Oreochromis niloticus: one gene and its partners. The protein of the gene in region 1 interacts with the protein of each later gene in a pairwise test. Links are inferred from orthologs where the notes say so. Each region holds a gene or a part of one and is shown on either strand. Other genes may lie near its edges. The genes, in order: atxn1a, srebf1, rcn1 and kctd15b.

What was found.
Region 2: the proteins of atxn1a (region 1) and srebf1 interact in binary tests that used the Homo sapiens proteins (3 or more experiments, as listed by UniProt). The link is inferred for Oreochromis niloticus from reciprocal best matches to the Homo sapiens genes ATXN1 and SREBF1.
Region 3: the proteins of atxn1a (region 1) and rcn1 interact in binary tests that used the Homo sapiens proteins (3 or more experiments, as listed by UniProt). The link is inferred for Oreochromis niloticus from reciprocal best matches to the Homo sapiens genes ATXN1 and RCN1.
Region 4: the proteins of atxn1a (region 1) and kctd15b interact in binary tests that used the Homo sapiens proteins (3 or more experiments, as listed by UniProt). The link is inferred for Oreochromis niloticus from reciprocal best matches to the Homo sapiens genes ATXN1 and KCTD15.

What each region holds. Positions count from the first base shown.
Region 1 is NC_031985.2:20,491,287-20,499,038, reverse strand, and holds the start of atxn1a (ataxin-1a), read left to right. Parts: upstream 1-4,731; 5' UTR 4,732-4,994; intron 4,995-7,752. UniProt on the Homo sapiens protein: Chromatin-binding factor that repress Notch signaling in the absence of Notch intracellular domain by acting as a CBF1 corepressor. Binds to the HEY promoter and might assist, along with NCOR2, RBPJ-mediated repression. Binds RNA in vitro.
Region 2 is NC_031969.2:18,055,453-18,063,442, reverse strand, and holds the start of srebf1 (sterol regulatory element-binding protein 1), read left to right. Parts: upstream 1-4,969; 5' UTR 4,970-5,233; coding exon 5,234-5,339; intron 5,340-7,990. Other genes in the region: tom1l2a (TOM1-like protein 2), read left to right, coding at 416-475, 1,007-1,043, 1,171-1,325.
Region 3 is NC_031965.2:24,276,967-24,284,568, reverse strand, and holds the start of rcn1 (reticulocalbin-1), read left to right. Parts: upstream 1-4,582; 5' UTR 4,583-4,890; coding exon 4,891-5,117; intron 5,118-7,167; coding exon 7,168-7,361; intron 7,362-7,483; coding exon 7,484-7,602. UniProt on the Homo sapiens protein: May regulate calcium-dependent activities in the endoplasmic reticulum lumen or post-ER compartment.
Region 4 is NC_031965.2:31,958,732-31,966,087, forward strand, and holds the start of kctd15b (BTB/POZ domain-containing protein kctd15), read right to left. Parts: upstream 3,010-7,356; 5' UTR 2,694-3,009; coding exon 2,682-2,693; intron 322-2,681; coding exon 146-321; intron 1-145. UniProt on the Homo sapiens protein: During embryonic development, it is involved in neural crest formation. Inhibits AP2 transcriptional activity by interaction with its activation domain.

The DNA of each region.
Region 1 (7,752 bases):
TTTGGCCTAACACACCACCTTTCTCATGACCATCCCATGAAGCGAGATCTTGCATGGAGCTCCAAATCAACGTTGACTGATTCATTTTATACTTCTTACATCTCTGAATAATCGCACCAACAGTCGTCACCTTCTCAACAAGCTTCTTGCTGATGGTCTTGTAGCCCGTTCAAGCCTTGTCTAGGTGTGATATCTTCTCCCTGATGTCCTTTAACAGGTCTTTGGTCCTCTCCATGGTGGTGGAGAGGTTCGAGTGGAAGAAATCCACAATGTGGACAAGCCTGCTTTATACATGTCATGGGTTGAGATTGGGAGTATCTGTAACTGACTGATAGTCAGTCTGTGGGAGCCAGAATTCTGGCAGTGTTGTAGTGGATCAAATACTTTTTCACTCAATGACAAACCTTTTATGTCATGTCTTTTTTCTCGATTTTTGGTTGATTAGAGACTGTTCATTTTGTTGTAAGTAAGCAAACTTAGAAATTTAGCAGGGGATCAAATAATTATTTTCCAGACTCCACAACACTTCATTAAAGTAATGTAAAAATGATTGCAATAATGGAAGTGACTGTGAAGGAGGATCTTAGCTCACTCCTAACCAGGATTGTGGGATGTATGTGAAAAAATGCAGGAACCAGTTTACTAGTTACAAAGCAAAATTGTCTAAAAGGTGTTTATTTTGTGTAATTACAAGCAAAGCTGTGGATAATTCTGCATTTACGCAACTGTATGCTGCAGTATGTGACATGACAGCATGTAGGGAAACACTGTAAACCAATAACCACTTCCACATTTGAACAATGGGGGGAGCTGTGAGTAGCTATGAAACACACCACCTCCCCTCTGTGCACAGAGAGGGGACTTGGACAGAGCGCAGCCTTGAAATCTGAAGTGACAGCTGCTTTCAGAGCATACAGGAGGAGCGCTGCTGTTCTGCTAAAAAAAAGTCTGTATTGGTTTTTTGCAGAGAATGTGAAGAGCTGACACGACGATGCAGAGGTCCACATACACAAATAAGGAAAATGCAATACCACGATGCCTGAAGAGCTGCAGCCCTCAATAGGTGATTGTAGTGTGTAAAGTAGCATGCACTTCAGACACGCTGCTTCTCTGTCACTCTCTGCTGTCCAAAAAAAGAAATGTCCGTGACCATTAAAATCTTTGAAAATCGCTGTAAAGCTGCCTTTAAAGACTGGTGATGATTAATTATATATATCTCCCTCAGTGCCTGCTTTAAGCTCAGAGTGTTATTTATTTATCTGCCAGATAAACTGTCAAATCCCTTATTTGTGCATACTTTGTCTGTTTTGGAGCTGAAATACGTTAAAGCTTATTATTTTTATGTATGACTCATTTACTATGCAGGTACTAAGGATGTCACTCTCTATGTTCAAGGGCTGTTTCCATACACGCCCCACCTGGCACACTTCATTGTACCCGAGTGTATACTGTTCACACCTCCTACAAAGAACACAGGTACATCTCTAGGGAGGAACCCAACCCTCGAAGAATCTGCTCCTCCCATGGGAGTAGTTTTTGATTTATTCCTCAAGCACGCAATGGCCCTGCACTACACACACACTGCTATGGAGTCACGTTGTGCTCTGAACGGTGCAAACCATTCAAAGGGAGGCAATGTCAAACAGAGGGCTGCTGAACTGTCTGCAGAAGATGTTTAGCATCCTATATGTAAAGATTACATCGGCACGTTGTAAGAGCGAGTAGGTGTGAACCTGTGAGTACATGCAGAGGGGAACAAGAAGGTGCAAGTACATGCTTGCGTATGTGCAGGCCTGTGAGCTCGAGAGACACTGAGGAAGTATTTTTATTAAACTGGTGATCTATTTTGAAACGTGCGGTCAACTTACTGCTTCCGCTTGACTCTGGCCTTACACATTTGTTATTATAGGAAGTTCTATTTTAGCAACACGGCGTGAAACTGAAACTACGAGGTGCATTATGGGTGGTAGGTTAGCACAAAAGTGCACATATCACACATCTGGCTGATGTAGTAATGACAACAATCAGTCAAATCTCAACGTATTTAAGTCTCCTTTATGTCTCAAAGTTGCAGATCACTTCCACAGTTTTGATGGCCTTCTGCATGTTAGTGCACTATTTCCCTCACTACTTGGACTACGAGGGCTTCCAGGATCAAATGGCACACATGTGGTCTGGATATTAAATGTTTTTTTTAGTTTTTTTTAAATGAAGCTCTTCATTCCCTGCCTACACTTAAATATCAAAGTCCATTCAGCAACTCGCCGCATCTCTTCATGAATGTAATGCTAGCCCTCTAGCACACAGGGCAACCTACCTCTCTGTCTCTTTGTTTGGGATGCATGTGACAAGAGCACAATAGAGTGCTGGACAATAGGCCACTTATTGAGTGACTCGCAGGGAGTGGGACAGATCCCTGATCGTCTGTCACTCCGCAGCCTCGTGCACCCTTCGGCTCTCGGGCAGTGTCAGGTTGCATTCTCCTCTGACGAAGAGGCAAAGGCACTTGTTGTCACATTGGAAATCTGGGAGAGGTCACAGAGGTCAAGATAATAAAAACACAAAAAAGAGGAGAGGGTTAAGCGGGTGTTTATTTCTTTTATCTTGATAGCTTATTTCAGTGGCACAGCTTAGTTTTTGTGCTTATTTGACACATGCTTTACGCATGATTATAACTGATAATAATTAACTTTGAACTAGAGCGAATTGAATTTAGCCCCCTTAAAGTGAATTAGAGTTAATCGGGACACGAGTGCATAAACATCTTTCATAAGCATGTTTTCTAGCATCACTCCATCATTGTGTTTATGTTTGTAGCTATGCGTGTGTATGTGAAAACAGTCGCTGTCGGCAGCTGAGACGTTCCATCATGTCACTGTCAGCTGACTGTCAGTGACTGCCTTCAGCTGAACAGATCCTGAACTCTCTGGCTTTAAAAAAAAAACATACCCTGACCTTCTTCTCTTCTGAGAAAAAGCAGAAGTTTCCCGGTGCAGTCAAATCCAAGGATGACATGTTTTTTTGCAGCAAGTCACACTGAAAACAGGACTGACCTCGTACCATAAACAATAAGAACAAATATCTGAAGTGAATCTTGAGTTTTTGCTAAATTGCATCCAGGATCCACAGGCGTGCTGCGTGTTATATTTATTCATTCAGACTCCTAATATGCTTTGTGGCTTGTGTTCAGATAATATTCATTAACTTTTATGTTCTCTTCTTCATTTATCACACTTTATGTACTTTGTTTTGCTGCTGTGACACTTTTGTTCCCCTGCATGGGCTAATAAAAAATATCATCTATTCAAATTAGTAACACTAGATTACATAATACACAGATGTACCAATATACTAACCAAAAGCACAGGAAAAGTGCACAACGTGTCACATTATAATTACATATGTTTTACATAATACATATGACATTATTAGATTTAAATGGTTGAAGCAGTGACCTGCAGCCTTTTGATATTTTAGCCAGTGGAGGTGGATCTACTTTATGACTCGTTATGCCTCCTTGCTGGTGACAGCTATGCTACGAGGCATCCTGTTTTCTGGCTGTCCATCTGTCCTTCCTCTCTATGTGAAGGCGGTGTCTCTGGACGTCTGGCACAGAAGTTCACATGCACTGAGGGATGAAAGGATTAGCTTTAGGTGGAAAAGGTCAAGGCCACTACGACTTTGTAAAAATGTTTTTGGCCAGCGCTGTGCAAAAGTTATGAGCCACATTAGATACTGGCTGCTTTTTTGTTTTTACTCATTTTCAGTCCTTGTACGCACTTAACACTGACCTATGAATTAAACGTTAAATTCTGTCTCTAGGCACTTTGTTACTAGCAGGCTGCTGGAAAAACACATAATTTGTTCCCATTTCTTTTGTTGAATCTATGAAAAATACCTAAGCTAACAAAGTGTGACAGACAGGAAACAGTATTTTTACACCTCGAAGAGCTATTTGCTGAAAATCTGGCATGTCTTGAAATGGTGTGCACTGTGTCCTTGAAAAAAATCTGAGGAAACTGGGCAGGCGGTGGACAAAAGAAGAAGTGTCAGGCCTAAAAACAATCTACAGCAGATGAACAGTCTGTCCTTAAGGAATGGGCCCTTCAGCTGATCCATTTACTGTTCACTAAAGCCTCATCAGAAATGGTCTCCGTGGACGGGAGGCTGTCAAGGAGTCATTCTGAGAGAAGGGAAAGTGCCATCAGATTTTATTCCACCAAGCAATACCATTTGAAAATCAGCTGGTTGGCAACAGCTTCATTTCTCATCATGACAGTGATCCCAAACACACTGCCAATGCAATAAATACATACCTGGTTAGAAAAAACAAACAATGGAGGACAATCAGTCAACATTATTGAAGCAGTGTGGGATCATTTTGACACGGAAGTATTGATTAATAGATCCATATTTGTCGAGACCCCCTTATTTTAAGCTTTAAGTATAAATGCCTCAGAATTTTACTTGAGTTATATAAACTCAGTGTTGAGCTGTGCAGGGTTGTATTGTAGATAAAGTGTTTACACTGCTGAGAAGCCACTTTTTGAGTGAGGCTGAGTTAAAAAGAAATAATAATATTAATATTAACCATTCTTCCTCTCCCACAGCGCGCTTTTGCATTTGCTCCTGAAAAAGCAGCCCAATCTCCACTGTGAGTAAAACAATCGTGCCAATAAAGGAATACTGTGTATTCCCACACTCTGGCACTGTCAGCGAACCTCTCTTGTATCTCTGTGACTGCTTTCTGTGCTCCGAGCTCTCATATTTTTGCATGAGTAGTTTACAAACTGCTCCAGTTTTGAACTTCTCTCTCGCCCTCCCTCCCTCGCTCTCTCTCTCTCTCTCTCTGAAGGTGGGGGCAGAGAGCTATTAGCCGAGCGCTGCAGACATCATTAGGAGGGGAGACGCTTTCCACCGTCAGCGCCGGAGCAGAGCAGGGGAGCCCTGGCAACAAGGAGAGACACAAACTCAGCAGCCCGCTACACCCCGCAGTAAGTCGCACAAAACTATTTCCACAGAGCCGCTTTCGCCAACCTGTCACCGCTTTCACGTTGTCACTCTTCTCTTTTGGAGCTGGCTAAATTAAAAAAAATGGCTGGAAGAACTGGGAAGGGTGGCGCTGAAGCTCTGGTTTACTTCAAAGCCTTAGAAAATGTTTACTTCGCACTCTGACCTATTTTTAAGTGACCACACAGTACACGGCCACGCGGGCTGTGGGTGGGTATACTTGTCATTTGGGAACGTGAACGCAAAGTGTTGTTTAAATGGGACGAAAGAGGGGCGGAGGTTCGGCTGGATTCTGACCGAGCGAGGAGCGCGTCCGCCGGGTGAGTTGGGAGTCGGGCAGGCGCTGTACTTCCAGTAACTGCGCCACTCGACCTCGGCTCAAAACATTTCCTCTTTGCAGACTATTTCTTTGTCGGACATGTCCGAATAATGTCGCTTCGGGCCGCATACGTCTTCTTCTGAACTCTTGCCTTACTGACAGGGACTGTCACGGGAAAGCGTTACATTTTTTTTAAATCTACGTTTCACTATCGCGGAAGTGTTTTCTCCACACGAAAGGAGGCGAACTACTAACCACAGTCCACATGATTTCTACAATTTAAAAAAAAGCGTAACCGCAGGTGTTTTGCATGTTTCGATTAGTAGGAAGCATTTATTGTTGCGCACGTAATACTACACAGTGTTTTACATTGTCAGCTGGTTGTAAAGGACATACGGTTTGTGATTGCAGGACTACCCGTGATGTCATTCATCCTAGCATGGACCATTATATAACGGGACTGTAGGGAAGCCTGTGATAGCAAGCTATTTTTACTCTGTTTACACCTCAGAGCAGGGTAGGCTATGCGTCCCAAGTGGTAGCCAATGCTTTCACTCGCACTATAATTTTTTAACGAGCATTCCTAATGGCAGCAGACTGATTGACAAAGTGAATGCTCAAGATTAAAAAAAGAAAAAGAAAGAAAAAAGCTGCACTTCTTTCCACCAGCTGCATGCTTAAGTGTTCCTCTTTTCTGATGATGTCTGTGCAATTTATAGGAAAAACACGAAAAAACAGAAGTGGGTTTGCATTACTTGTTGATTATGTCATTTCTCATCTTTGAAGCCCGTCCTGTAGCCTTAAGCAATGAATGACTGGACACCCCATAGAGTGCTTTCAACACACAGATATCTCAGCAGATAGCTGTGATCGTGGTTAAACTTGCTTTCTATCTAAAAGACTTGTTTTGCTACTTTTTAAACGTGTTACTGAAAGAAATATAAAATATTACAACACCAACAAATTTGAATCTGCAGCTTTCAATAAAAAAAACCCCAAACACACTTTCTGTTTTATTCCATGGTTCTTGTAATTCACTCACTTGCAGCCACTGTGTGTTAGCAAACACTTGCAGAGTGAACCTATAGAGTCAGTGCAGCCCGTCGGCTCCGATGTTAGTACTTTTATGGTGTTGGACATATCTATTAGTGCTGTCGCTAGTTCAAGTACTTCTGTCCTCCGTGGAGGATGCGAGCACAAATGTATGAGTGACCCATTAATTAAATTCCTTGCTTGCTTTGACTCTTGCCTGTAAACACATGTTTCAGATTTTATCTGCACTGCCCATGATTGTTGTTATCCAAGTACTGAAAGAAATCTGATCCCGTGGTTGCCATAAATCCCATATACAAGCTCTTCCAACATTTGTTTCAGTGCAGTGAAACACACATTTAGAAACACCTTCATGTGGTACATGGTGTGGAAAAGTATTCAGAGATCAGTGTGGAGTTACTTTTTAATACCTTTTAATGTTTAATAATAAATAATTCGGATTGTTTATTTATTCAGAAAGACAGCAGGAAAAGTGTGAAGAAAAAATGCTCACTAGTTTGACTTTTGTCTCTCTTCTGTAAAAAAATACATAACCGACACTGGCCAGCCATTTTTTTAGGTACTGGTATTCGGTCAGACCCTTTTAAGCACGCATATCAACGCATTGAGTTGGTGGCTTGTGATTGGCTGTTGTATTTGCACTTAACAACATGGCCATTAAGTCTTTATTAACCATACTGAAACCATTATGTATTTTTTATGTGTGACTGGTATTAAATACAGCAGGTTGGAGAAGAGAGGAAGGGGTCGTATCCAAGAGGTACTCGGAAACACACAGCTGAGCTTCAAATCTTTAACAAGGGATGGATTCATGTATAATGATGGGAAGGATGTGGATAATGAAGTGATTGGGATCCGGTGTTAATCCCTGTGGGATGCCATGGAAAGGTCTTTTTAATGGAAATAAATTTCTCTGCTAGCGAGGTCGACTAGAGGCGTCCAGGAACTGTTCATGACTGAAGCTTTATAGATGTTAATCCACCGCGGTGCATTTTTAGCACGCAAATATCCACCGCTGTATGATGGCTGACAGCGTGCAGCGCGAGCAACTGGTTGCCTTTTGTCCCGTCTCCTGCACGTTCCACAGGCAGCAGCTTTGCCCGAACCACGCAGAATGTTTCTGGTGGTAAGAACGCTTATGAACGGGTCTGTCTCCTGCTCTGTGCTACCTGTGAAAATGAGCAACTGCTGCCAGTGTGCTCACCTGATTCTCCAGACTCTGGTGTTCAGGTGTGAAAACAGGCTGGGAGATAGATGCGTTATGAATGCTTGAGCAGAAGGGAGGTGTTAATGTAAAGGGTAGAGAGTGAAGATAGGGAGGTAAGGAGAGGCTGTTGTAGTGATTTAGGTAGAGTGGCAGCGATTTGCCC
Region 2 (7,990 bases), on another chromosome or scaffold:
GCTTTCAGCCTTTCCCAACCAATCAATCTCTTAATCACGTTCAAGCGATTTGCTAATTAACTAATGATGCGGAATAATTAGCACGGCTGTGTGTGACATTAGTCGGCAGCTGTTAAGCCATGTCAGCAGTACAGAGTTAATGAGAACAATACACAGGCCGGGAAGTCCTCTTCTTATACAGAGGAGTGCTCGGCAGCAGTTCGTTGCACATGATAAAACAATAATGGCACAGAATCAAGAGAGGTTGAGTGTGTCTTTCAAGCATTTTTTTATTATTATTATTGTTTTTCTTTTTATCTTTACTCCTGAGCCTCTGGTGATTCTTGTTTTTGTGTGTGTGCGTGTGTTACGTTGTTTTTGTTGTCGTGTGGCTTTGTTGCTACCCCTCGTTGTTGTCCATGGCTTTGCTCCATAGATCCCAGTATCGCAGTCCTCTGTCATGGATGACATAGAGGAGTGGCTCTGTACTGACGTGGTGAGATTTTAATTTTTCATTTTTTTTTAACCTTAATTCATATTTTTGTTTTTCTACCCTCTCTTTCTCCCTCTTTTCCACCCTTAAAGCACTTTTCATCCAACCATTTCTTATAACTGCATACATTTGACCTTGGTTTTCTTTTTACTTAAAATCTTTACCTTAATCATTCACCTTAATCATTTCCAGCAATCACTTACATAACTGTTTGCCATGAGGTGAGACATATGTGGAAACAGTGCTAATGATAATTAACCTAAAGCAGCTGCAATGGTCTGCTTTAACTTGTGCATGTGGTGGTTGTGGTGGGGCTCTAGAAGGTTTCTCGTTGTGGAAAATGTGGGGAGGATGCATGACAGACGGATCCTTCATGAGCCACTCTGTTTGGAGTTTGTGGGAACTTTACAGGCAGCTGACTTGTGCCGCTTGTGTTGTTGATTTTACACTCACATTAATTAACTCCGTTCTTGATAGTTTTCTATAGAAATTTGTGTCTTATGTCATGTTTTTTCTTCTTCTTCTTCTTAATAGAAAGGTGATGCTGCTGAAGAAGGGGTAACTAGTGAAGGTATAGTCAGTTAATTCACACCTATGGGTGTGTTCTGTTAGCTCAAATGTGTGTGGGAATGATTGAGAGTCTTAACACTGTGACCCTCAGCTTCCATGTTTCTGACAAATCAATTTGTTTCTTTCAGAATTTGATAAGTTCCTGGAGGAGCGAGCTAAGGCTGCAGACACTCTGCCATCTCCCCCAGGACCTAACCCTGCTAACCTCTCCCACCCCGCCCGTGCCCCGAGTGGCTCCCATAAGAAGACTGAACGGACGGAAGATGCCCTCTTTGCCTTGTAGACTGTTCTCAGAGGACCTCGGTTTCTCTCCAGGGCATCTAAAGGTCTTGGCCCAAAATGACCCCACCCGCCACCCTCCAAAACAATCCTCCTAGTCCTATTTCATTGCTGACTGGCATTGGTGTAGCAAGTGATCTCCACCTCCTCGTTGTTATCTTGCCAGAGTGTCGCTCTAACCATCAGAGGTCCAACAAGTTTACTGCGCATTACCGCGTTATGTTTTACTGTATATGGATGTATTAATCTGTCAGTGTGGGATGTACTGCTCGCAGCCCTGCATCTCATTCCATAACATGCCACCAAAGGAGGACAACTTCACTTAACTGTCGTGTGGTTTAAAAATGTGACACATGACCGCGAGATTACTGGGAAATTTCTCTGAAGGTCTACTCACAGAGTCAGTATGGAAGCATTTAACTAGGAGTATATTGTGTTATTTTACTACATTTCAGCTAAATGCTTATTTATGCATTAATTGTTTTATTTTTTCTGTATTATATACTGATCGATCAGTGCATTTGTTAAGAGTTGTAGATTTCTAGTTATGCTTAATACTGAGATATGTGTGGCAGGGCAGCACCTCTTATTACCCAGTTTGCTTAAGGCACTGTAATGAACAGTTTCATGTTAGCAGGCTAATTTTGCAAACTAGGATTATAATATTAGCTAATCTCTTTAAAATGTGTATGCCAGCATTCCTCTAACCAAAGGGAATTAAGAATAATAAAAATCAAAAAATGTACTAGTTAGGATTCACTCTTATCTCGTATCTATTTCAGATAGCTAAGGGGAAGGAAGATGCCCATTGAAAAGCTACAAGAAGTTAATGTAGAAAAGTGCCGCAAACTGCAAACACTTTAAGCCATTCCAAAGAATATTGATGCTTTAATGACCAACTAGTTCTTCATTTTACCAATTGAAAAATAGTGACATTCACATGCTCAAAATAAGTTGCTGGATTGTCAAAATTTTCCTTCCCCCTCCACCGCCGCGTTAATGTCTGTGCACTTTGAAGCAAAAAAAAAAAAATCTGTATTTTGTCCTTTTGTGTTTACAAGATGCTTACTATTTTTCTAGGGGATGGGAAATGATCTTAAGAATGAGTTCATTTTGCACATAACTTTTCTAACTATGTAATTAGTGCGCTTGTTTGCCTAACAAGTGGATAGATGGACCATTGGACTGTTGGAAATTACAGAAAGATGCAACACAGAAATAAAGATTTAAATGTCAGCTTAGCACTGGCAACATAATCATCTACAAGACAAGTGTGCTGTGGTAAGAGATGTATTCACACAGGCAAATCTTCACATACTCCATAGTATTTAATCAATATACCTCAAAATACAGAAACTGTGGTTTCTGTAAAAAATCTATTGGCTCATAATAATATCAGGAACACTGAAAGGTTTAAGTATTATTTTGTTTTCCCCTTCTGTATTTTTATAATTCATGGTTAAAAAACAAAAAAGGGAAACGAACAACTGATGTTTTTGAGGCCGAGGTTGAAGCGTGCGGGAAGCAAGCATGATTTTACTTTCTTTCTGATTATGTGCAGTCAAACACATTACACTTTATTTCCTGTGCATTTTCAACCTGCTATGATTCATCTGCTCTCATTGGAGCTGTTGCCAAGCATTTCTATGACCGACTGATTTCAGCAAAGTTGCTCTGCCGAGAAAGGTTTTGTCTTTGATCTGAGGCAAAATAGAAAATCCGTCTTATTTGCAGCTCTTTTTCCAGTTCACTTTAGCACTGCTCTGCACTTCAAAAACATTTTCTTTTTCTCCTTTCAGTCCATTTAAGACCAAAAGCCTTGTTAATCAGAGGCAGCCCATTTGCACCTCAGTTGTAAAGCTTCTTGCTAACATAGATGCAAAGGTGACATTAAAAATGTATTTGTGTAATCAATGTATTTTAGATTAAAATAATAATAATAATAATGAGCTTTAATTTTCTTTCATGCTGTATGGTTACACTTGGTTTTGAGGGTTTATTATCATTGCCAGATAGCAGATATAAAAACATCTACCACGCAAGTTGAACAAGGACGATTACTAAAAATGTAACAGGAGATTCTTTAAAGGGAACTTTGACAGTTTTCTGTTTGTGTGTTCTGTATCTTTGCATCTGTAACAGAGTGTATTGTGTTAACTTGCTCTTATGAAGCTTAAGTCCTGGTTGCAACATGTATTCCTCTAAATTCTGGCTATCTTTAAAGTGGTAACTGAATGTCTTTAATACCCGCGAAGTGGGATATTTAAGCTTGTGTTTTGTGGACATGGAATTGAGGCTTGTTTTCTATCGGTGGGTGCTCCATGTCTCTCTGGCTGTGCCGTCTGCTGCCATTACTAATGGTCAGATTTGTATTTGACCTAATGCACGTATGTAACTGCCCAATAAAACACTAGCAGTGTGTGACCTCTACCTCATAACTGTTTGTGGTTATTTTACACTTAGGGGATCTGTGACTAGTCTCTCTTTTCTCATGCACATGCTGATGCAACCCAGGCTCAATCTTGTACTGTATTGGTCATTCATTGTGAAATGAGCCTTTCACCTTCTCGCATGTGTTTGTTTATGGATATTTGCACAACATAGATCCTTAAAAGAATCATTTTTTCCTTCCTTTACCTGAGGACCAAGACTAGACAACTTTACAAACTCCAGCAAACAAATGGACAAGACTTATTGTTACACACTTGACCACCAACCATGCTGGACTTTATATAATCTTACCCAACTTTACTGACAACTTACCAGTGCTACTCTAGGTCACTGACCTATTTTCCTACAATACCGTTGTGGGGTTCTACTTTTGTGTTACTATAACAGTGCGTTACACATAGACATTGTGAAACACCCACATTGCCTGTTTTTACGTTACTAATTATTATAGGAGAGAGAGAAAAAAATGTAATGTAAACCACCATTACGAAGAGTTGCAGGAACTGTTTTTGTTAAAATACATGTGCTCATTTTTTTATGTCCTTCTGGCTACATGTAGTTGTGCAGTTTATTTTCCTCCTGCTGTTCCTGCTTCCATCATTCCAGGAGCGAAACACATGATGTAATCGCTAGACCCATAGATGCAACGTCAGATCACCCCACTCTGATTCTGAGCTTCTCATTGGACGGTTTTACTGGTTCTACAGGAGGAGCCGCTAATTCGAGTCAAACAAGCTTGGCTGTCGCTAAGCGCACGCCCCACACGACTATGATTGGCTATTGGTGGCAAGCCCACAATAAACATGTCCATGCTGTATACAAAGAGAAAAAAAAATATTTATTTATAATAAACATTATAAAAGATATTCAGAACTGTATTAAGCTGCTCTGGAATCAGAACTTAACTCGTTTATGCTGTAGTTAGCTATTTTTTCATACCCATCAAATGTAACCATATAAATATTTTCTAGCCACGGCATCAGTTCTTCGATTACTGCAATTATTTGTTGTTTTTTGTACATTATCGGATTTTTGTGTGTAAATTGTGTTAGATCGTGGCCGTATACTCCACATGCCCTCACTCATTTACTCAAACAATCAAAACAAGCCTGAGAAACAGGGACGTGGGAATCTAGTTCAAACAAGGGTGATTGGCTGGCGCAACTGTCAATCATCATCGGTTGGATGGGTTTCTCCGGCTACCGCTGTAAGCACGTTAGTAGTGAATGAGCGTCGGTGTTTGGCTTGGTTTGACAAGTTTCCCAGGATGATGATGGGGCTAGTAGCGAGCAGTTAGTTGACACAAAAGTTACAAAAATAAGAAAAGTTGCAGCTCGCGTTGCGTGTGTGACGAAAGGACAGGGATCTTGGTCCTTTTGTCAAATGTAAGGACTCAGAAGTTTCCGATTTCTCCGACAGTCAGTCAAGTCTACACTGGAAAGCCCAGGCACGACAGTAAAGATGAACAGCCTGTCTTTTGACGATCATTCGTTGGATAATCTGGATCCAACACTGTCGCTTAACGACCCCAGTGATATTGACACGGCCCTCCTAAGCGACATTGATGGTAAGAAAATATAATGGCTGCTGCTGGCTTAAAACAGTTGTGTTTGCTAAAACCGGTAACACCGTACGTGTTATCATTCCTTTTCGTATCAATTCTTTAAGTGTTCTGCATGTAATAACCACACTAACAACATCACTTACAACGACATTCGATACAAAGACACCTTTAAAAAAATAAAAAAGCTTTTAAAAGCTGAGAGCTAGCTTTCATTATCCACTGTTAGCTACATGCTAACTATCGGTGAGCAGTTAGCCGGAGGTGATATTTGGGATGTTTTGTTAGTAATTTATAACGATGATTCTTGCAATATCAGAAGTCTTCTGTGTGTCTTACTGTGCAATAGAAAAATAGAAGCGCATTTCATGAGGCGAATATGTGAAGCTAACGTACAGCTAGCTTCGTGTGCGCCCCGCCCCCAGCGTGCTCCATAGACCGGGGTTACTGTCGTTCATTCCTCTTTTTTGGGTTCACGGAGCCTCACTTGACCGATTTGACAAATATAATGCATTTATGTATGCCAAATTAATCGGTTGAAAACTAATGTAACCATGTGCTCTGTGGACGACATTATTTTTTTCTCGCTAATATAGTGCTATCCACGTGCAGTTTTTTGCAAAAACAAACAGCATATATAGTCTGATTCATATATAAAATTCGTGCAACAATTTAAGCCTCCCATCGAAATAACAAGAGTATTTCGAGTAGTGTTAATATTTAGAGTTTTCTGGAAATTTTCCTAAATTGGCCAGTATGTGTTTTATGATAGGGGTCGACGTGTAAATAAGATAACACGCACTGCGTAAACAGTATTCATATCCTGCGGCCGTGCTCTCCATCTCCCTGACTTTGACCGACAGTAACCCTCTGTGACACTGCTCGATGGTAACCTCACACTCATTGCCACAGGCAGCTCTCCCTCTCTTTTCCTGTCTTGGGCTGATCGGCATAGCAAGTCTCCGAGATGCGCTCTGATTGGCCAAGAGCGATCACCTCATACACAACACTGCTTCACAAATCCAGGCTGCTGGTTTTTTTCTTTTTTGCACTGCAGACACAACATGAACTCAGAATCACTTAACAGATAAATTAAACGCGGTGAACTGTGCTCGTAAAATGCTGTAAAAATTATTTCAGTGTCTTATGTCTTTCAAGAGCACACTGCTTCCTAGAATTAAAAAATGATTAGTGAACACGTGCCATCTCACTTTGTTCATGTAAAGTTTTTTGTCAGTTTTAAATCTTTGTAATATAGCAAATCATCTGGAAAAGATACATATTAAAATGTTTTATATCTTTTAGATCATGCTAATGAAAACCTACAAGTCCATATGTGCAGAAGCACAAATTAAGATTAATAATTCATTAATAATATACCACTTGGATTCTTGGACCTACAGCTGCACGCACATGATGAATGGCTTGATAAACTGAAAGTGTGAAATGTACTGTACCCGGTATTTCTTGTTGTGTTTGGCAGTCTTTCTTGTTAAGTGTGTTTTTAAACTGCGTAAGACACCCTATCTCCTGCTTAGGATGTTTTAAAGTAGTTTTCTAGTAATTTATTGAGTGTTAATGGAAAATGTGATGAAACAAAACAAAATTTAGGTTTTAGCAATTTTAAACCGCTGTAGTCATAAGTACATGTGATGTACTACATTTACAGTCATGTGAAAAAGAATGGACTCTATAAAAGCAGAAGTTTTTTTTGGTTTGCAGTACACGGATTTGTGGAAGTCCAAATTCACCTCACAGTCAGAGAAACCTCAAAAAAACACATGAGCTATATAATCTACAGCACATTAAATTTTAACATTAATGACAGTAAAGTTAGAAAGAGACTGAACACAAATATGGGTTCAATTTTAAAAAAACACATGCAGGAGCAAAGTTGCAGCTAAACAAACCAGAACACTTTTAGAGCAATAATTCATAATGCACAACATCACACAGCATATCTGTATAAACACCTAATATCAACTGTTAAGCATAGCGATGGAGTAGTGATGACTTGGGGTTGTTTTTGCGGCCATAGGACTCGGGAACCCTGCATTGATTGAGTCGACCATGAACTCCTCTGTATTTCAAAGTATCCTAGAGTTAAGTGTGAGGCCATCTGTCCTATAGCTGATGCTTGGCCGAAATTGTGTCATGCAACAGGACAATGATCCCAAGCACAGCAGTAAATGTACAAGATTGTGACTGAAAAAGGAAACAGTCAAGGTCTTGCAGTGACCCAGTTGAGGTCCAGACATCAATGCGGTAAGAAAATGCCGCGGGGAGACTTTAAAAGAGCTGTGCATAAATGAATGCCTGCAAAGGTCTGAACTAAAGCAAACGCTGTTAAGAAGAGCGGGCCAAAATTCCACCACAGCGATGTGAGAGACTGATAAAGTCAAATGGAAAACAGTTACTTCAAGTTATTATTGCTGCTAAAGTTGGTTTGATAATATGATGACTCATTAGTTAAACGTATTTTTTTACAGGACTGCATAAAGCCCGCTAAAACCTTCTTTTTGCGACTTTGTTTGTTGTCATTTAGCATTTTTACCGAATACCAACACACACTTCAAGGGTTTGCTCCTTTCTATTTGAGCATCATATTGGCCTTATCCATTTTTATGCATTCCCCCTCTACACTGCAATTATATATT
Region 3 (7,602 bases), on another chromosome or scaffold:
TAAAAAAAAGAGCTACAATTATATTTACTGTCAAACTCACTTCCATTGTGCACGATCTCAGTTATTTATAAGCCTTTAATTATTCAGATGCTCTGATTAATTGCTGTTGCTTAATCAAACTAACAAAGCTGTTGTCGCACCAAAAGAAGATCAAAAATCTGATAAATGCAGTGTGTGTCTGTAAGCGCAGGGCAAAAAGAGGCCATAACTGAACTGAATTTTCTGGACACTAATGCTCTGTGTCTCCCACCATAGGGTTTTCTTAATTACATTAACCAAATGCATTCTGCAGTGTGTGCAATCTCATGGTTAACTGAACACGCCCGTAGCTGCAGCCCCCTCCCTGTTCTATTCCTTGGTGAAATATTCATGTTGAAAGCCACTCTTGCCATCCACTTTCTCCTTCCAACATGTTAATGCCCGCTGTTGTTCAGCCATGCTACCATTGTTTGAGAGTATAGTCTTCGGCATACAGGTAACACCTAAAAATCTGCCCCTGTTGTGTGATCTAAAGTTAATGAAAGGGTCCAACTATCAATCCTGCTAAGACCATCATCATCACCAAGATAAAAAATCCTGTATTCTTGTATATCCATATGTATCTTTAGGAAATGCATCTCTTTGGGAAAACACATTTGTATTTCTTCATGTCTGCACAGCACACTGATTCAAATTGACCAGGCAGGACTAATTTAAATACATTAACTATTCATTAATTGAATAAAGAGGCTAGTTGGCCCCAGGGCCTCTTTATAATCATAAACTGGGGTGTACTGTTTATGCAAAACAGCAAAGTGCCATGTGCTGGCTTATTATGCTAATGATGAATGGCAAAATACATGTTTCTCCTGCCCACAAAGGAGGATTAGGCATGGCAGTGTCAGCAAGTTGTTTCCAGGGTACAGAGTCTGTTCTTCCATATTACCTCATGTTGAGATGGGGCTCAGTAATGTGATTCTTTTCGTTTTCTTCACGTGGATGTGATCACACACCCCTCCCTACACCAACTCTTCCTCTATCTCGAAACATTATATCGCAAGGACTTAACTAAACTGGATGACTTCACACTCTCGCATTGACTTATGAAGTTATCTGTAGTTGAAGCAATCTTTTAACTTTCCACATTCTCAGATATTGTTTATGATCCAAAACCCATGCTCTTTATTTCTTAAACTGAAAAAAATTAACTTAAAAACTACTTTAATTAAAATGACTAAAACCTAAACTAATTTAAGTAAATACTAAAATCTACAGTGCTGTGCAAAAGTCTTGAATCAGCCTCACACTTCTTTATAACAGAGTGTTCTTCAACATATCCTGGGCTCTCATACAGAAGCTTTCTTGTCATTTGTTGAAGTAGTCTTCATTAATAGTTCTCCAGGCTTCTTGAAGGACACTCAAAGCTCATCTTTGGATGTTGGCTGCCTTTTGTTCCCTTCTCGGTCAAGATGATCCCACAGTGCCTCAATAATGTTGAGGTCCAGGCTCTGGGGAGGGCTATCCATGGATGGATGGATGTCAAATCCATTGATTTGACAAAATCTCCAACACCACTGGCTGATATGTGGTATGATATACAATATGTGACATATGCGATATGTTATACAATATAACAGTCTTCGGAAAGTTGTGTTGTGCAGAAGTCAGGTTGGTACACAGCTGCCAAACCTATTTGAATTCAATTGAATTCAATTTTATTTATATAGCGCCAAATCACAACAACGGTCGCCTCAAGGCGCTTTATATTGTACAGTAGATCCTACAATAATAGATACAGAGAAAAACCCAACAATCATATGACCCCCTATGAGCAAGCACTTTGGCGACAGTGGGAAGGAAAAACTCCCTTTTAACAGGAAGAAACCTCCGGCAGAACCAGGCTCAGGGAGGGGCGGGGCCATCTGCTGCGACCGGTTGGGGTGAGAGAAGCAAGACAGGATAAAAGACATGCTGTGGAAGAGAGACAGAGATTAATAACAAGTATGATTCAATGCAGAGAGGTCTGTTAACACATAGTGAGTGAGAAAGGTGACTGCAAAGGAAAAACTAAATGCATCATGGGAATAACCCGGCAGCCTGAAAGAGGGGCCTGAAAACTGAAGGCTCTCCTTCCCATTCTACTTTTAAATACTCTAGGAGTATTAGTATTTAACACTATTTGACAACTGTTAAAATTCATATTATGGCGAGAACCAATCAGCTAAGTAAAGAGAAACGACAGTCCATCATTACTTTGAGAACTGAAGGTCAGTCAGTCCAGAAAATTGCTAAAACTTTGAAGTGTAGTCACAAAAACCATCAAGCACTACGACAAAACTGGCTCACATGAGGACCACCCCTGGAAAGGAAGGAGTCACCTCCGCTGCTGAGGATAAATTCATCTGAGTCACCAGCCTCAGAATTCGCAAGTTAACAGCACCTCAGATTAGAGCCCAGATAAATGCCACACAGAGTTCCAGTAGCAGACACATCTCTACATCAACTGTTCAGAGGAGATCATGCGAATCAGGCCTTTTATGGTCAAATAGCTGCTAAGAAGCCACTACTAAGGAAAAGCAGCAAGCAGAAAAGATTTGTTTGGGCCAAGAAACACAAGTACGGACATTACAGTAGAAATCTGTACTTTGGTCTCATGAGTCCAAATTTGAGATCTTTGGTTCCACCCGCCGTGTCTTTGTGCGACGCAGAAAAGGTGATCGGATGGTCTCTATGTGCATGGTTCCCACCGTGAAGCATGGTGGAGGAGGTGTGATGGTGTGGGGATGCTTCGCTGGTGACACTGTTGGGGATTTATTCAAAACTGAAGGCACACTGAACCAGCATGGCTACCACAGCATCCTGCAGCGACATGCCATCCCATCCAGTTTGCATTTGACCCCAAACATACCTCCAGGCAGTGTAAGGGCTATTTAACCAAGAAGGAGAGTTAGCCCCCAAAGCATTTCTTTGGGGCCAGTATCCCAGTGCTGCACCAGATGGCCTGGCCTCCACAGTCACCTGACCTAAACCCAATTGAGATGGTTTGGGATGAGATGGACCGCAGAGTCAAGGCAATAGGGCCAACAATTGCTCAGCATCTCTGAGAACTCCTTCAAGACTGTTGGAAAACCATTTCAAGTGACGACCTCATGAAGCTCATCGTGAGAACGCCAAGAGTGTGAAAAGCAGTAATCAAAGCAAAGGGTGGCTATTTTGAAGAATGTAAAATATAAAACAGGTCTTTAGTTACTTCACAATTTTTTGTTTACTACTACATAATTCCATATGTGTTCATTAATAGTTTTAATGCCTTCAGTGAGAATCTACAATGTAAATAGCTGTGAAAATAATGAAAAACAAATAAATCACAAGGCGTGTCCAAACTTTTGACTTGTAGTGTACATACATACATACATACATATCTTCTCTACCCAACACAGGAAATAATAGAGGCTACATCCGCTCAGCTAATCATCCAACTCGTTTCCAGAAAGCAGTTTAAAAATCAAGGACATTAAGGGGATACATTAGTGCACATGGCATGAGTGACACACACATCTATGAAGGGATTATCACTGATGAACAATAAATCAGGTTTTGGAACAACATATGCTGCCAGGCTTTGTCTTTTTCAGGCAACACCTTGCCAAACCACGTTCTGCACATGATTACAAGAGTAAAAGACAGTGGATGCTGAACCGGCCTGCCTGTCATTCACCCATTGAAAACGTTTAGGAGATTATGAAATACAAAATGTAACAAAAGCAAGCAGCTCAAACTACAGCGATTGGCCTCCTCAGCTTCCAGATGCTTAAGTCTTTAGAAATATGTTTCTGAAAGCATGTTAGAATCAGCATTTTTTTAAATGTCCCAGTTTCAACATCTGATAGGCTATGTTGTCTTTTTATTACTAAATATAGTGCCTGGCCAGTACATAACATTCCCACTAGTCACCCTCCCTTCCTTCATTTTCTCCAGCACTCTCAGACACACTAACACACACACACACACACACACACATTCAAAGATATTCCACAGCTGTTATCTTAACAAGACTTTAACTGTGTCATGATTCAACAGTTATTCATTCAGTTCTATAGCAGCTAACATATAGAATAATCCATCTAAATACAGTAAGCAGTACTCGTAAACTACTATAGTATATTTTACGGATTCAAGGAACTTTACCCTCAAACAAACATCAAACACTGAACTCAGTTCCAGCATGTTTTACCTTAAACGTTTTACACTGTAGCAGCGAGCTGCATACTTGTGACTGATGATTTTTTTAGACAGCAATGGTTTATTTATATCCCTGTACATCCGCGTAGCTGTGCACACAGCCTTTTCATTTCAAATGCACCTTATTACAAGTTGGCACAAAACACTTAAACAGTTCCCTAAGACTGTGTGTGTTACTCCCGTTCTCACTGGTTGCTCACTGACCCACGTTGACTCTCCTGCTCTGGTCGTTCGTCAGCTTGCAACGTGGCGCCCGAATCCCTCTCGTGTTACCGACATCCCGTGGACCAATGGGGGGGATTCTGGCAGTGGTTGAGGCTGGGGCCTGCATGAAACGGAGCCTGTGAATGGCTGTACGTAAGGCGGCAGGAAATCCCTGTTTGGTTGCATCCCTTTCATTGGGATAAGGGACAGGATTGCCTAAAACTGTGAGGACCGTAGGTGTTCATGGAGGACCTGTTTGCGGGCGCAGGTTGCGTTTCGTGGGTGTTTGAACATTGCTGCAACATTGTTGCGCTCCGCCGCTGAAGACAGGACAAAAAGTCGGCGTTTAGCGGTCCAGCAGTGAAAGGAGCTACACAGCCGCTTGATCATTGTGTGTTGTGGTGTTGTAGGCCCGTTTTGGAGATCGCTGTGCCCTCTGAGAGAAGTCAGGTTGAACACAGACTGATGGCCGGCTTCAGCTTCAGCTTCGTGTGCGCTGTGCTCCTCTGCGCCACTGTGGCGCAGACCAAGCCGACGCTGAGAAAAGAGAGAGTTCATCATGAGCCAGAGCTAAGCAGGCAAGCCCACGAAGACAATAAGAGCTTCCAGTATGACCATGAGGCCTTTCTGGGCAAAGAGGAGGCCAAAACATTTGATCAGCTCACCCCTGAAGAGAGCAAGGACAGGCTCGGGTAAGGAAATGCTACCAGCACTCTGCCACATAAGCTGATTTTTGGTATCTGAAAGTGAAGTTAGTGACAGGCTTGGTGGGATTTCGAAGGGCAGGTTGGAGCTTTTGTGTTTGTTTGTTTGTTTGTTTGTTTGTTTGTTTTTTAAAATCACACACTCTGCCGCTGAAGCCCGTTGCGTGTAACTGTTCAGACTAAGAACATTAAACATTTAAAAACATGGGAACATGTGCCTGTGAAAGCACTCCTGCTTTATTATGGCACCCACACTGTTTGCACACACTGTACACTTAATGAGTATTTGTAATTAAGATTTCTGCAGACTATTAAAGATTCATTTATAGGGGTGAAGTTTAAGGAAAGTTTAATCGCCGAAGTTCTGCACGTAGGTATTCTGTACAAAACTGCAGTGTACGCAGTGTACTCAGTGTGCCACGTGGTTCTGTTTGCAGGATTCTTCGAGTATTAAACGTTTTTTTTTCTTCTGCCACTGCTGCAGTGACAAGTTGGCACCATGTGACGCAAGTTAGTCCAGAAAACTCCTGCTTGTTGTCTTGAAAGAGGGAGGACCCCTGTAATATCACAACGTGGCAGCCCAGGTCTAAGAATACACCACAGATGCACTGCAGTTTTTAGCCTTCTAAACTGGGTTTGCCTGCCCCTCCCTCAGAAATCGTCTCTATGAATCCACATTACTTGTAGGAAATTATTTATTTATTAATTATTAATCCAGCCTGTCATTAATCAGTATCTCATTGCTAAAGTCTTCAGTCACTCTATATTTTACTTTTATGCTTTCCTTCTTACATTTAATTGGTTTTAAGCGGTAGTTATCTAGTCTGAAAGTCTTTCAAAGTTTTTCTTTGGACATCTATTTTGTTTTCCCCCCTAATTTTTAGTCCATTCCTTCATTTTCATTTTTATTTTTTGTTTCTTAAATCACTTAACACTAACATGAATCATTCAAGCGTTAAAAAGCAGGAAGTGGACAGTTGGTGAACAATAAAAAGGAAGTAGCAGGTCTATAAAGGACTAATTACAGCAGATGAACAGTATCTGAAAGTTATATTCTTAAGAAAAAGGACAAAAATCAACCGAAGACTTGATGCAGGACCAGAGAGACAAATCTCTCTTTAGTTGCTCCATCTGTTGTTCACTGAAAGCCTCATCAGAAGTGGTCTCAGTGGAAGGGTTGCTGTGAAGAAGATTAAATGGGGAGAAAAAGCAGAGAGATCCAAATTTGAAATTTTGGGTTTAAATTGTTGTGTGTGTGAAGAAGAGGTCAGGAGAAAGGTGTAACATTAAGTATCTACAGCCATCTGTAAAACAGTGGAGGCTCTATCAACTTTACGTACTGTCACTTTACAACACAGAAAGGAAAAAATATTCAAATAAAACAAAATAATAAGTAAAATCTGCACTTGTCAAGGTTTGGGTTTGCATTTCAGCCGGTGGTTTGGGGGATCTGGTCAAATTTAACAGAATTACTGATGCAGAAAAATACCATTAGATTTTGATCCACCATCTAATACCATCTGAAAAGCATCTTATCAGCAAGACTTCATTTTTCAGTATAGCAATGATCCCAAACACAATGCCAATGCGGTTAAAGCATACCTGGACTGAAAAACACACATTAACATTATCAGTCATGGACTGGTCTCCCCAGAGCCCGGACTTCAACACTACTGAAGCTGTGTGAGATCATCTTGACAGAGAACATTACAAAAAGCAGCCAACATCCAAATAAGAGCTTTGACTGTTCTTCAAGAAGCCTGGAGAATTGGCCCTGAAGCCTGCTTAAAGAAGAATAAACACTGCCATACAAAATACTGACTTTTAAACTTGTTAAATTGTAAAACCTCAGTTTTTGCCTTCTATATTGAATTTCAGCAAATTTTTTGCACATTTCAATAAATCAATATTTTCACCCAAAATATAAAGAAATGAGGGGCGGAGTCAATACTTTTGCACAGCACTGTATGTAGCCTATGTATGCCTATAAGATTTAGTTGATGTATCACTAATATCTCTCTTTGCACCTGCCCAACAGAAAAATTGTGGACCGAATAGACAGCGATGCAGATGGCTACATCACCACAGCTGAACTCAAGGCTTGGATAAAGCGCGTACAGAAGCGTTATGTATATGAGAATGTGGCCAAGGTGTGGACTGATTATGACCTGAATAAGGACAATAAGATTTCCTGGGATGAGTACAAACAAGCCACATATGGATACTACCTCGGTATGGGCTCACTAGTTCAAGACACATGATGTATTTTTGTTTTGTTCTTTTAGTACTAAAGTATTACATGGCTATTAAACCCGATTCATTTTTTAGTCATGTTTTTTTTTTCACCCTCTTAGCCAACCCGGAAGAATTTGAAGATGCCACGGACCAGTTCAGCTTCAAGAAGATGCTCCCTCGTGATGAGAGGAGGTTTAAAGCAGCTGATCTGAACAGGGACCTGGCAGCAGACAGAGAA
Region 4 (7,356 bases), on another chromosome or scaffold:
TAAACAAAAGCAGCAAGAGACAGATTAAACTACTCTTTAGTTTGCTCATATTTCTTAAAGTTGATTTAAAAAAATAAAAAATAGATAAGCTATGAATTAATACATTAAGATCAGCAGTGATGCTAGAGGCAGGGACTGATCTTACCTTGAATCTGGGTACTTGGTGAGAGTTGCCAGGCTGCTAGTGTACATGTGTCCCCCGACATCAATGTGCACCGGGGCGTTCGCCTTGGTCAGCTGAGCCGGCAGAGGGATCCCCTGAGCGGCCAGAGGAGAGACCGGGGACCGGGTCAGAGACAGCCTTGACATGCTTCTTCCCTCCTGAAAGCAAGTATAGAGAAAAGCCATGGGAATAAAGGTAAAGAAGAAATAAAAAAAATCAGCAGAGTGCTCCTAAACAGGGAAGTAGATAGTATCCTTTCTGAATGGTATCAGATCACTTCCATGTCTGTCTGGTCGCATATTTAGCCTGGAAATTATTGCCACCGCTCTAATTAAGTATGTTTGCATCTTTTCATGCAGCACCGCAGGCGAGGATAGGAGGATGCTTATTAGAATCGGGGTGAGAGAGAGAGAGAGAGAGAGAGAGAGAGAGAGAGAGAGAGAGACAGAAGGAGATAGACAGATAGAAAAAGAGAGGGGGAGAGGGAGACAGGGTGAGGGGGGAGAGAGAGGAATGCTAGGTGTCAGCCTCCAGGGGAATAAAATAAACTGCTGCTGCAATATTCTAATTAAAGGTCGCCTTATGTGTTAGACGTGATGCGCCCAGACACACCAACCACCAATCTAAGAGTAAGGAAAGCTCGACGGGGAGGGAGCTTTCAACTTTTCTTCTAACACGCACACGCATCCATTCAGTACACAAAAAGATTAAGAGTGTCATGTGTCCGCAGATAGTTTGAGGCACACGGGCCTCATGTACTGCACAAAAACGCACCAGATTTCAGTCGAAACCAGGAGAAGTATCATGTTACTTGCAGGCCAAACTATTGTGTATCTTATTCCGTACTTGGTGTAGCTCAGTGTCGTTGATTAACCATTAAAATAATCTTACAAGTAAAGTACATGGCACTAGAGCCTACTGTATACAGACTGTGGGTGCACATATTTGGGACTGGGGCTTACTGGGAGCACGCCGGAGCACTCCGAGATCAGTGCAGAGCTGAATTAGATTATCTGATGAAATGTTTGACAAAATATTTTCAATTCGATACGCCGTCATTTGATTCCGCACTGCTTCAGGAGGAGCGGAGGAGGCGTTTATATCCAACCTACCTACTGGTGCGTAATTTGTTTGCCAACAGCGGCAGGTGAACCACAAAACCTCAGTATGGCCACATTTCAGTGTTACTATTATCTGTTACGAAGCATATTGTACATCACAGTGGCTGAGTTTATTATTTTTTTTTTAAAGGAAAAGTAAACAAAGATATACTGTTCTTAGTTCATTTTCTTTAATAATCACAAAATAAAGGTCACCGTTTCTCCACTTTATCACCACTAGTCCGTGCCTACAGGCTCTGGTTGAAATACAGACCTTCCATTTGAGGAAAAATCTAAAACAATAATAGGAGCTTCATAGTACACATGTGTGTGTTTAAACAGACTGATATAATAAAATCCCAGCTTTCACTAAATTATGTGAACTGATCAGTTTTCTGTTGCACATATGGGCTGTTGCACTGTCATTACTGATAGACGGGAGACCTTTTGCCAAAGTCCAGATCATCCCCGCGGCTCTGAGAGAAATGCCAGTGGGCACACTATGAGACAGGAGACTTTTTTATATATAGACCTCCTCACAGCAGTATCGTATTCGTTTAATGCGATTACAAGAAAACGGGATTACATTTCAAAACCCAGGAACAGAGAAAAAACTTATAGAGACTTAAGAAGTTTAGGGCACATACACAAAGACACACACGGACACCCATCGGTCTGTCCCATCGCGGGTATCTTCCTCGTTCCTACTTATCCACCATTTAAGCAATAAATTCCCTACACTGATATACAATGAAGAACAAATGTGGAAAATAAATATAGAAATCTTCTTACTATCCCGATCACATTCTCATTGATTTCTGTTGTTCCCAACTCCCTTGTTCCCTATCACATACACACAAACAGTGAGTGACACACGTAGACACACAACACATAAATTCCTTCACAAAATCACAGCAGCTACAGAGACTCAACTTTCCTGCTTTGAATTGCTTTCTTGCTGCTTCCCTTCGCTGACCCCTGCTCAGACATACTGCTGTCGAGCTCACACTTAATGACAGCGACATAAACCTGACGACTGATCTTTAAAACAACCACGAAAAAGGACACAGAAATCTCTGAAAAAGAAACGGTGCGATACAACACTCCCTCCGCAGGAACACCACAAGCCCGTGCTCTGCCTTTAATCTACCAAATGCTCAACATGGCGTCTTATTGCTGCTGTACAATTAAAAGCATAATCCCGACACGTGTAATACACGACCCGATTGATAAAACACACACGTGTTAACTATAGGGTACAGTCTGGCAGAAAAGACAGAAAATACACTTTGGTCGAGCAGTAGCCCTATGCAGGACTCTCCAGCACAGTTCAACTGTCCTTCCCGAAAACTGTACAGCCTAAGCCTACACTGTGCGTAAAAAACATTGGATTCTGTAATATTAAATTGTCACCCTACCGTTTCAAACATTGTAGGGAGTCCGGAGGAAATCCGTGCCGGCGGTCAGTCCCAGCTGCTGTCCGCGTAACCCCCAAAAATTTTCAAATATTTTCTCCAAATGCCCCCGAGTTTGTCACCGAACTACACCGCCGTCCAGTTCCAATACCTATACTGCCGCACGGAAAAGCCAAGTATTTTTTCTGTATCCCACACAAAACTGCTTTTAAAAGACGCTAGGTTGTGGCCAGGATCGACTGCAAAGAGTCTCTGTGGCTTTAAAGGCTCAATTGCAAGGCTGGCTCGACCTGTCCTCACCAAGCTTCTTTGTACCAAAGCGCACAGGAAGCGTCCTTACCTTGAACATAGATGAGATGATCTCCTTCCCCTTCTCTGCTCTTATTTGGATACGCGTAAAATGTGCGCTCTTATTGGAATCCTGCTTCGTATTTCGGCTTCTTGTCTGCCTTTTTGCCTAAATGAAACTGCCCCTGTGGTTTGTTATGAGAAGAAGAAAGCCAATAATCCTTCTCTAAATAACAGAGCGGAGCTAAAAAAGAAAAATCTTGCTCCGGGCTGCCCAAGCGCCTCTGGGCCAGGGATTAGGCTACAATTAGCTCAACTACACTCTCTCACCCAGGCAATTTTCTCAAGGAAGAAAACGTGATACCCTCTATTCCCGAAATTATGACTACATAGATATAATAACTTATCTTATTTTTTCCGGCAAAAAGTAGACCGATCCCCTTAACGGTGTGAAGTTGTGATTTCGAGGGGGTAGGAAACCTAACAGGCAACTGTCTGTCGCTCAATAGATTTAGAGCAGCAAAAAGCAGATTTTAATCATTGTCATTTCGTCTGATGTAATAGTTCCCCAGGCTGTCCAGCTAGTAGGATTACATTTCCATCTCCATCTCCAAGCTAAATTTAAAGTTTAAAGCGGGCGGGCTGCCATAGTCCTTTACTCAGGCAACATATAATAAAGACGCAATAACTTGTTGATAAAGTCTCAGCAGGAAAAAATATGTTGAAAATGAAGCGATATCCTTGAACCAATATCTTTCATGCCGTGATTTTTCCCCCGTGTTCCCGCTCTCTATTCCTCTCCCTCTCTCTCTTGCCTTAATGTCTGGAGTTGTAACGCCAAATTTCCTGCAGGCCATTAAAATCAAATGACGTCTATGGACATGCATGCATGCTGCTGCAGAAAGCGCCCTCACAACCTGCCTGCAGCCAAATGCGCCATTTCAATTATAGCGCAGGGCTTAGATGGAGATATCTGCCCAGAACACCCCCCTCTCTACTCAACAATGAAAGGAGGCAGCCTCCAGACTTTTGGAAAATAAGATTGTGCCTGATTATTGTTATTTTTCAACAGAGAAAGACACAATGCAAGTGATGAAGCGCTAAAGTGTTGCGCCACTTCAGCACAAAGTAAAAGGGGGAAGAAGGAGTCAAGCAGGTGCTCACGCCAAGGAAACTATTATTTATTTATTTGCATGTTTGTTTATTTGCGGGTAAATAACTGTGAATAATTGATGCAACATCGAGCCCAGTAATTACTCTGTACCAGAATCGTGAGAGGGGTGTAATATTCGTTTCTTGATATTTGGCGCCAACCAGTGTAGGAACTTATTATTGGTCCACAGGAAATACATCAATTCACTCACTATTTTGGAGCCTCGTTTATCCCGAATAGTATTAACATTCTTTTTAAGCACATAGATTTCCAAAGCAATATCACTATGATACTCTAACATTTTCTTATCTTATATATATATATATATATATATATATATATATATATATATATATATATATATATATATGTGTGTGTGTGTGTGTGTGTGTGTGTGTGTGTGTGTATAACAAAGCGAGAGAGAGAGAGACAGAGACAGATTTATAGAAAATCGGCATAAAATAACGGATATTTAAATATAAAATTAAAAAGTGCTGGTGATATTTGACAGCAAGCTGATGGATGTGTGAGAATGCGCCTCTCCTTGAAGCAAGTGAAGTCTTTATAATTAGAGAGACCTCAGCGTGCCTCAAGCGCTCCCTTCTTCCCCTCTGGCACAGATTTGTTGCTTCCAGAGGTACAGACTGGAGGGAAAGCGGGATTTTTTTTCTCATTAAAGGAAACAAGCCCGGAGTTAGTTCAATTACATGAAGTATGCAGGGATGTTGTAAATTTAAAGATTTAAATAGCTTACAAAGTGGCCCCGGGCCCCATCAGTTAATTTCCTTAATTTATGGATTTTATCGGTGTCTATGTGGAAGGGAAGAAGTAGGTCATCTTGAGGATTTGCATGCAGCTTTGAGATTTCCCAAATCTAAACATCTGTCCTCCTGACCAGCACCTCAGCAAGTGAGAAGACAGACAGGTTTCCATTTCTATTTTGCTAACCGTCCAAAAAACTGTCCCTACGATTAATTTTTTTTTCTTCGTTTCCAGGGTTAAAAAATGTAGATCTGATTGTACTATTTGACCCAGGTAACGGGATTATAGATGTTTGGTCTCCCTGATGCAGGCACAGAGAGAGATAACAGCTCTGTTCTAGTTTTCTTTAAAGGATTATTCCACATAATTTCTCCATTATTTTAAATGTTTACTTATGTAAAACTACAAAATGAACATAGATTTTTGCTCAAATCTGAGTCAAGATGTTTATGCTGCAACGTGAAGCGTTCAACTGCATACATCAGTCAAAATTTCAAAGTCTCCTTCAGACATATGTTAATGAAGTATATGAATTAATGCATGACCCCGAGAAGAATAACTTTGCCTCTAGGTTCAAATGCAAGGTGCTATTAGTTATGTTGCCTAAAGTGGCACAGAGGACAATGCTGTGCCTTTCTCCAGCTTTATCACAAGAGGATTATATATGATTTTTAAAGCTTTTTCTACTATATATTAATCACAGCATCAACAGTGTATTGTATGCTTTATGCCTCTGAGGGATAAATTGTACTATTTTTTTTATTAAAAACAATTTATTCCACCTTCTTTTTTGTGGTACAGACACATGCTTACCTTTTTTTTTTAACATTTATTTTTTGCTGCAAGCAGGTCAGATATCTGACACCAATGAATGAGCGCATGCTGGTATTTTTTTTTTTTAATCTGGAGGATATACTTATTACTCAAATGAAAGATGGAACATGGCACCATCTGCTGGTTAGGTGTAACACTGTGAACAAAAAACCCTTTTCAATGAATACTCTGCTGCATACTGATGAGCTTAACTATTATTAAATCCTTTATTTAAACATGCTGTCTCATTGAGATCAAGACATCGTTTTCAACAGAAACCTGTGTATAAAAAACATATTCAATTATGACATCAACTTTTTTCTTTTAATCCAGCCTCCCCCCCAAAAACATAGGGTTGGATTTGATACTAGCATTGGGGTCAGAGGATCTCAGAGGATTAAAAAAAGCATGTACAAGGGATCTTACTGTGGGATTTGCAAATTTTGGTATTGATCTAAAATCAAGCAAATACAGGGTCAGTATTGCCGATTCTGATACTTTTAAGCTATAAAGGCAGCTTATCAAGGGGAGAGCCACGTGTCATGATTCATAAGATGAATCATCAATTTGCAAATTCAGAACACGCTTGAATGACCACTAATTCAAATTGATTTTTTACTTTCCCCAATACTTATTTAACACAGAACACAACTTTCACCTTTTATGGATTTTAAAGCTGGGTTTTTTGGATACCTGGAATGTAAATGTGCCCGTCACTAAATCACTTTGGATCATCTTCTGTTGTTCAAATGTGCTATAAGCTACAAATCAAACAGATGTGACTGGAACACATCTATTTGATTTATAGCTCCTATTTGACATATAACTTTGATTTAAAGTTCAGACATTTTTCATAGTGCATGTTTGAGGTAAAAACAAATAAATAAACAGAATTCAGCGGGCAATAAACAAATAAAGTATCTATCCTAACTTGTCAGTATCAATTCAATACCAATGCCAGTGTTGGTATTAATACTTTCAATATCTGGGTCTATCCAGCCACCTCTAGTTTTTGCATAAACATAAATTTTACCTTTGAAAAATGTTCAAATAAAGCCAGAGAATGAAGCTTCATAGTCTTCTGTAGCTCAATCCATTTGTAGGTAGCAAAGTAATGAAAAAATTCCTTGAAGACGTTTCACCTCTCATCCAAGAAGTTTCTACAGAAGCTCCTCGGATGAGAGGTGAAACATCTTCAAGGAAACTTACAGAAGTCCAGAGGCTTTTCTTTCCAAGCTCCTTAGACTACGATGACCTGGATGACTGAGAACCATCACAGACGTAATGAAAAATAGTTTTTCCAGGTTCACTGTGAATAACAGGTAATGTTAGCACATTCTGTGACCTGAAATTGCATGTAACCGAGCAATTCCACAGTAGAGCTTTGTAAATAAACACCACACACTGCCACTTTTTTCTGTTTCCTAAGGTTGACCATCCTACTTCTTCATAGAAGAGTAAGAAAGGCCTACATCAATTTATCATTGGTAAATTACAATGCACTGTGATGCAAGAATCAAGATGCTTCAAGGTGGATGAAGAAACATCAATATAAACAATATCACCATAAGAAATATAAATATCATTTTCTTGATTGGTGTTTCAAAAGGGCTAATGAACTGTTCACTGATACATTTCGATGATCGCATGCGCTTCAAGGGA